Struthio camelus: one gene and its partner. The protein of the gene in region 1 purifies or fractionates together with the protein of each later gene. This does not show direct contact. Links are inferred from orthologs where the notes say so. Each region holds a gene or a part of one and is shown on either strand. Other genes may lie near its edges.

Evidence for each region.
Region 2: the proteins of RPL23 (region 1) and RPLP2 fractionate together in Homo sapiens (co-fractionation; 4 studies listed by BioGRID). This does not show direct contact. The link is inferred for Struthio camelus from reciprocal best matches to the Homo sapiens genes RPL23 and RPLP2.

What each region holds. Positions count from the first base shown.
Region 1 is NC_090966.1:6,317,938-6,321,681, forward strand, and holds the start of RPL23 (large ribosomal subunit protein uL14), read right to left. Parts: upstream 2,183-3,744; 5' UTR 2,074-2,182; coding exon 2,061-2,073; intron 1,525-2,060; coding exon 1,441-1,524; intron 1,204-1,440; exon of another isoform or gene 1,073-1,203; intron 1,012-1,072; coding exon 883-1,011; intron 397-882; exon of another isoform or gene 264-396; intron 1-263.
Region 2 is NC_090946.1:16,121,894-16,125,637, reverse strand, and holds the start of RPLP2 (large ribosomal subunit protein P2), read right to left. Parts: upstream 2,249-3,744; 5' UTR 2,109-2,248; intron 1,920-2,108; 5' UTR 1,919-1,919; coding exon 1,796-1,918; intron 431-1,795; coding exon 382-430; intron 218-381; exon of another isoform or gene 85-217; intron 1-84. UniProt on the Homo sapiens protein: Plays an important role in the elongation step of protein synthesis.

The sequences.
Region 1 (3,744 bases):
AAGCAGGGAAGTGGCTGCTGTAATCATGTCTCTTGCTCCATAGCGCGCAGTGCATTAGTTGGGTTGTGTACTGTCTACAAACTACAGTTTGCCTAGACCCAACTGTGTAACGCTTCAGCCACCTCTGGACTTGGGCAATTGAGTGTTTTTCCAGTTTCCCACTTACATTTCTAAATGTAATGCCAATTCATAGGCAATACTCAGCAAGAACCTCTTCCCCCTTATTCCCTCCAAAGCAGCAGCAAGGCTTGTTTTCCAAGGCACAATGTCACACCACTGATTGAAATAAACAGCACAGGCTGCTACTTCACCCAAAAGCGATGTCTTTGCTATGCCCTTCCACGACAACTCATTGAGCCACTGAGCACAGACCCAACAAGTGCTTTTCAGAAGGGTGGAACTAACACTCCAGGGAGGAGGTGCCTACTGTCTATATCAGTTTGAAGGAGGAAACTTGCTCCCCTTAGATGCAAGATCTGCCTTTCCATCCCACAAAGGAAGGGCACTGCAGTGCAAGCAGACTCTCAGCAGCAGAGAGTAGCCTAATGATGGCATTATGCCCCTCCTAGTTTTTTGTGTTGGACTTGAGTTGTAATGCTGAGGCACAGACTGCTACTGTAACCCAGCAAGACCCAGCTACGTTATACCAACCTACAAGGGCGACAGTCATCAAAATAAGCAGGATTCATTCTGCCCCATCCCCCACAGTGAACAGCTTGAGGAAAGCCAGGCAAGTGATTCTCTGCAGCACACATGTACTGAGCAGTGCATTTTGGTGCGCTCTCTTGCGCCTGGGAAGGTGCTGCAGGGTAGCTGCCCTTCCACTCAGGGCTGTTTAGTTTGAGAAGCCCTGCAGGACTTGCAGCTCCTCTCCAAACTCACCCTTCTTCCTCAGCTCAGGCTTGCCCTTCTTGACAGTAGCCATGACCATGTCACCCACACCAGCAGCTGGCAGTCTGTTCAGGCGCCCCTTGATCCCCTTCACAGAGATGATGTAAAGATTCTTGGCACCTGCAAGGAAAGTCACCTGCATCAGCCCATCTGTCCCAGAAGAAGCTTCCTCTACAGGGACTCTTGTCAGACCACTGATTGAAGCTAACAGCACAGGCTGTCACTTCACCCAAAAGCGATACTGTTGCTATACCCTCCCACGACATCTCACTGAGCCACAAACACAGACTCAGCAAGTGCTTTTCAGAAGGAAAAGTGTTTTTAGCACCACCACTGTGTTAAACTGCTCCAAGACTTAACACAGTCAAGAATCCATGGATTTGTTCAACAGCTAATTGTTCTATTAATTTACATCCCCTCTCCAGGCAGAGGGTTTCTAGGCTCGGTCTTGAGCCACTGGATCCCTCCTCTTAACTCAAATCCCCAGAAAAAAGCCTGCCAGAGGCAGAAACAAACAAACAATTATAGAAACGTGGCAGCTGGACTCACCTGTGTTATCCGCACAGTTGATCACAGCTCCCACAGGGAGACCAAGGGAGATGCGGAATTTCGCACCAGATGAACCACCACGTCCTGCAGGTTTAAAAAAAAAAAACCAAAACAGTAAGACCACAACTAGGGAGCAGAAACATATTCCAGATGCAACATAACAAGCCAGGCTCTTGCCCTTGAAACTGCCTGTTGCAAAACTCCCAGCATCCAAATATCCCACAGCTACAAAGGTGCATCCCTTCCCAGCCCCAGCTTCCTTAGGCCCCGGCACACAGCTGCCCCACCGCGGGTTTTTAACCCCAGCTGAGCTCCACGTCAAAGCCCCGCGGCCCTCAGAGCGAGCCCGGCCGGGGGGGGGGGGCGGGCGAGGCCCCTCGGGGTACGTCGGCGCCGCCCCCGGGGGTGTCGGAGCCCGTGGCCCGAAGGGCCTCCGCTCCCCGGCCCGGTTCCACCGGGCTCGCGGCCGGGCCGCACCGGCTGTTACAGCACCCCCTGCCGCCCCGCTCCGCCAGGCCGCTCCCGAGCCGCCCCCCGCGCCGGCCCCGCCCGGTCCCGGGGCGCCGCGGCCCGCGGATGGGTCCGGATCCGCCGCCGCCGCCGCCCCGCGCCTATCTCACCCCGCTTCGACATCTTGGCGCCGGAAGAGAGAGCGCCGCGCGCGGCACGCCGGGAAATGAGACCGCCGCGGGGGGAGGGGGGGGCGGTCGTCACGTGACGAGGCCGCGGCGGAGCGCCACGTGACGAGGCCGCGGGGGGGGGGGAGCGTCACGTGGCGCCCCCTGGGGGCCGCCCCGGAGGCGTGCCCCGACCCTGCGCGTGGGGCCACCCCGGGACCCCCCCAAAAAAGATCGACCCCCCCCACCCCACTCACCCACCCAAGCAGACCCACCCGCGGCCGCGACGGCTGCAGGGAGCCCTGCTCGGGAGGCACCGGGACGGCCGAGGCGCTGGGTGGATTCGGTGCAAGGAATACTTGGGCGGGGGGGGGGTGACCTTTTTTTTGTGGAGGGTTGGAAAAAGATAAAAGGAGAAAAAAAGAAGAGGAGGAAAAAAGAAAAAGGGGGCACCCGGATTTGAACCGGGGACCTCTTGATCTGCAGTCAAATGCTCTGCCACTGAGCTATACCCCCACCTGCTTGGGTTGCTAGCTTGGGGACATCTCAGAGTGGACTCCTGGCCCTGGGGATGTCCCTGGGATGCTCTGGGGGTGCTGCCCCACTCGGACCTTCGCCTGCTCCCCCCCTTCCCGGGGGCCTCCAGCAGACAATGGAAAAGAGGTGGGAGCGAAGCTGCAGCCCAGAGGAGGAAGAGCAGCGCAGCCCATTCCAAACAACTCCAAAGGGCCATTTTCTTGCCAGGTTTTCCAGAAAGGTAACGGCTGGTTTCACCGCCGCAGCGTGCGCTGCCCTTTGCAGCGTCCAGGTGTCCATCCTCATCAGGCGCGTTGGCAGCAAGGGGAGCGTGTGCACACACACGAGCGCTGAAATTGCAGCAATCACCAGGCGAAGGGCGACCAGCCCACGGCGATGCCTGGGCAATCCCTGCCCAGTTCCCTCCCGGCTCCTACAGGCTGAGCGCTTGCAGCCTGCGCAGAGGTTTGCCAGGCTCATCCCTGTGCCCTCTCGTTTTGCACCCTCTTGTCAATACGGTTAAGAGTGAGCCGGGGCCGCCACGCATGGCGAGCAAGCCGCCACGGTGACCTCCCCAGGCTCTGCCCTACGGAAACCACCTGGGGAAGCGCTTGCCCTTGCAGCCCCCAAGTCCTGCTTGCACCACGAAACTGCCGAGATGTTTGCTCGGAGCTGCAAAGCAGGGGGCTTTGGTGGGCTGCAAGCAGGATGCCGGAAGGGCCAGGATCCTGGGAGGGCTGGGGACGCAGGAGGTGGGAGCAACGCGCTCGCTCCTGCTCCACAGCACTGCTCGAAAAATGGGACGTTTTGTGTAGTTTCCTCACCAAGACGATTCACTTGGACACAGGTCACCTCCGGAGCAGCTCTCCCCGCGGCACTATGGGGATGAACAGCCCAGGCCTTCGAGGAGCCAGACATGGAGGGCTGAGGACTAGGAGTCTTACCAGAAAAGCAGGACCGAGAGCCGCAAATAGTTACTTTACAAGCTGGTGAAAAACATTTGCAGCCAGCTGATTTATGTGAATGTTTCACGGCTCCTGCTCGAGAAAGCTTTATCAGGAATGCTGCTGAAGAACGGCGCGTCTCGAGCCACGCTCTTGACAGTAAGTCAAGAAATGAATTTTTCTGTGTTATCAGAAAGAATTGCCCTTGTCCATTTTTTTGCCTCCAC
Region 2 (3,744 bases), on another chromosome or scaffold:
TTTTACTCAATTAGTCTGCACAAGTGGGTAAATCCAAAAAAATCTCCCAGAGTACCAAAGGTTAGCTAATTCTTTCTCTAATCAGCATGTCCAGAAAACTATATTATGAGCAGACTACCAGTAAGCTCATACATTTTGAAGTCTCCCAGTTTAATGTGGTCCACAAGCGAAACCCAGCAGGTACTGGCACTGACCTGCAAGGAATTAGAATGGACCTGCTGGATTTCACAGTCATTTCAGCAGAGATCCAGCATGAAAGTGCTCGCCAGCGAGACCAAACTGATGTATATGTCAAGGAGTTGACAGTAATTCTGTGCTCTTAAGCCTAAGTTACCAAACTGGTAGAGGCAATTACCTGTGACACTCGAAGACTGCACTTACCCTGAGCAATGACATCCTCAATGTTCTTTCCATTCAGCTCACTAATAACCTGTGTAAATTAAATTTAAAATGTCAAAACAAGAGTACAAGCTACCTTTACACAAGTATTGATTAACGGTGAGCAATGCCTCCATCCCGCTGCCTGCCCAGCTCCAACTCAGTGGAAGGAGCAGAAAATTGAAATACAAGTTCCAGCTAGCTCTTTTGTGCTTTTCTGTGAAAGTTTTCTCATGAAATCTGTTGCAAGAAATTCATAATGAATCCATGGACGTTACAGAAAGTAGGGTGCCTTCTGGAGCCAACTGGGAAACCCCACTAATGGTTTGTTACTCACTGAGGGACTGATAACTAATCTTGCTTAACTTCCACTGGGAAGCTCTGAAGCACTGGGCCTCACACCAAAAACCACAGGGTCCTGTTCTTAGCACTACCAAATGTTAAAGCCAAGCTGGTGACTATATCCTTGCACTGGAACAGAGAGTCCTGACTTCTATTTTACTATCATTGTTGTATAACCAGGGATGAGGAAAACAAAAATTGCTAAAGCAAGCAAGCAAAAAAAAAAAAAATCAAAAAGGAACGTCATAGATCTTACTAATGAGCTCCTGCTATTGGGTGTCAGTGCTGAGCACTGCAGCGTCACCAAAGCCAAAGGAAATGAACAAATGAGGTAAGGCCAACCAAGAAGTTTTGAAGAAATATCTCCTGCTCACACAGAGCATGCAGCCTGTGAAATGCCATGTCTGTGGGCTCCCTTAATCTGGAAGGTGTCATGGCTTCACTAGATTTACACTGGCATAAAGTCCAGCCAGTACAAATATAGAAAGATGGATAACTATGATCAAAACAAACACCAGTGAGACTTTCTGGATATTGAAGGATCAGGAAAAAAAAAAAGTTAAATTTATGAAGGTTTTAAACAAGGGTAAACAAGCCAAAGCTAAAAGACCTGGTGTTTGAACGCGAGTTCAACGCAACCTCCCAAACCCTACAAGGCTTCTGTCCGCTGAGTCAACCCATCATTTTGGCTGAGGGTGAAGATACGGCACCCGAACGGGAAAATAACTTGTTTTTCCTCCGCCCCTCTGGAAACACCCTGCATACAGGTACGCGGCAGGCAGTAAGACAATTTTTCCTTCTTCTTCCCACGGCCATTAATGCAGCAAACGGGAAGCTTACTACATCAGGAGCAGCTTTCCCACTAGAAAGCTCTTCTTAAAAAGCCTGGTTTTCTACGTAACCACTCCCGCACCGTTCCTGTTTGTCTCCTGCCCGTTATGACCGCAGGCCCTTTTCCCTCTGCGTTGCTCAGGGAAGGAAAACGGGCTTCTCCGGGGGGGGGGGGGTGTGACAAACGCCAGGACGTTACTGAGCGTTTGCCCCCTGGAAAAGCGGCAACTCTTGAAGCAAGCACCTTGTTCACGCGCTCGTCGTCCGTCTCGATGCCGACGCTGTCCAGGATCTTCTTCAGGTCCTTGGAGGTGGGCGACTCGTTGCCGCCGAGGACGGCGAGCAGGTAGGCCGCGACGTAACGCATCCTGCGAGAGACAACAGCCGCCTCAGCGCCGCGCCGCCGCCCCAGCACATGGCCGCCTCCCCCTCCCCCCCGGCTCCCGCAATGGTCCCACCCGAGCCCCGCGGACCGTCCCGGGCGGGCGCGACCACTCCCGCGGGAGAGGTGTGTTGGGGGGGGGGGAAGTAGGGAAATGGGGTCGCCGCGCGCTTACTCGGAGGGAGGGGGGGCGGCGCGGGAGAGAGGCCTGCGACGTGCGCTCGCGACGGCAGCCCGGCGGCGAAAGGGAAGAGGCGGCGCCTCGGCGGCGGCTTCTTCCCGTCACCCCTCAGCAACGCGCGCTGCCATTGGGCCGCGCCGGCCGCGAGCCGCGCAGCCAATGGGTGGGTGGGTGGGAGGGGCGGCGGCGAGTAGGCGGCGGCCGCCATCTTGATGTCCGTTAGGGCGGAAGCGGCAGTGGAGGTGCTGCTGCCGCCGTCCCGGCTTCCTCTCGCTTCCTCTCGGCACGGCTCAGGCTAACCCTTCGTTACAGTTACTCCCCCTCGAGCTCCGTTATTAGCGCGGGCTCCCGTCGTTGCTCCGCGCTAGGCCTGGATTGGCGCTGCTGCCGCCTGTGAAATCCAGAGTCTGGCCGTTGCGGCCGCCGTCCTGTCAGCAAAAAAAGGCATCGCGAGGACGGGAAAAAACGCAGCCCGAAGTCGCTCCTGGAGTTAGGAGCCGTGCCAGGAAGGTTAGGCGTTGATCCAGCCTGGATTCCTGCTGGCGAAAATGGCCTTCGTCGCTTGATTTGATTCCTTCACCCCTGTGCTAGGGAAACGAATAAAAACGAGAAAGGAGCGCGGAGGCTCTTAGGAATACTGCGCCAGGATCCAACAGGCCCAAATAAAGCTGCATCACTGCAGTGGAGTGTTATAAGGAAGCTTTGGCCGTTCCTGTCCTGCAGACAGTATAGAAACCCCATACGCAGCGCTTTCCGCTTCTCACCCCTGGGAATTCAGGTGCCTCCAATAAACAGCCAGGCTCCCGGTTGTATAACTTTGGAAGTGTTTCAGGAAAGCAGTCTGGTAAACTAAAAAGCACAGCCATGGGCACAATTAGTTTTTTGCTCCCTGTAGGGACAGAAATTTCCCTCGGGGCACTGCACAGCTTATAGGCAGCTTTGAGCGAGAAGTGCTGAAACAGGGACCTCGCACTTCTCAGGTGGCATTGCACAGCGAGACCAGCGCGCCACAGCATGGAGTCACTGACTGGACACCTGTTGTGAACGCAAAATCAGACATTGCACGTTCTTAACAAAACAAAGAGCAAAATACATGCTGTGGGGTCTTGCCCGGACACAGTGTTAAGCTGAACTAAATCTCTTGCAATGAAAAAATCGAAGGCAGGGCGGCTCCCAGAGTGCAGAGCGATGAGATGCAGCGCAGCCCTGCGAAGGCCCCCCTGCAGGAGCCTCCCCCAGCTCTGCAGCCCCCAGTCCCACACACGTCAGGGCTTGCGGTCTCTGTTCCTGCTTGTTTTTTCTCCTTGAATTTGCAGCAAATTAGAGCGCTATCAGGAGCTGCCCTCGCCTCTCTTTCCCTCCAGGCTAAGCGCACATCTGGCCCCAGCCACCCCCTGCGGGGGAGCAGCGTGGACACCAGCTGGGGTGCGGTGGCAGGGCCTAGTGCCTTGGCCCAGCTCTCCAGAGCCGCCTGCCCCTTGGTCTGCTGCATCCGGCACCTCCTCCAGCGCGGCCCGCCCCGGCAGGCAGCCCGGAGTTCACTGCAAACTTTGCAGGAAGTGGCCGGCTGAGCCGAGCCCGACCCAGCGCAGCAGCCAGGCTTTCGGGACCAAGGTTGTGCCAGGGGCCA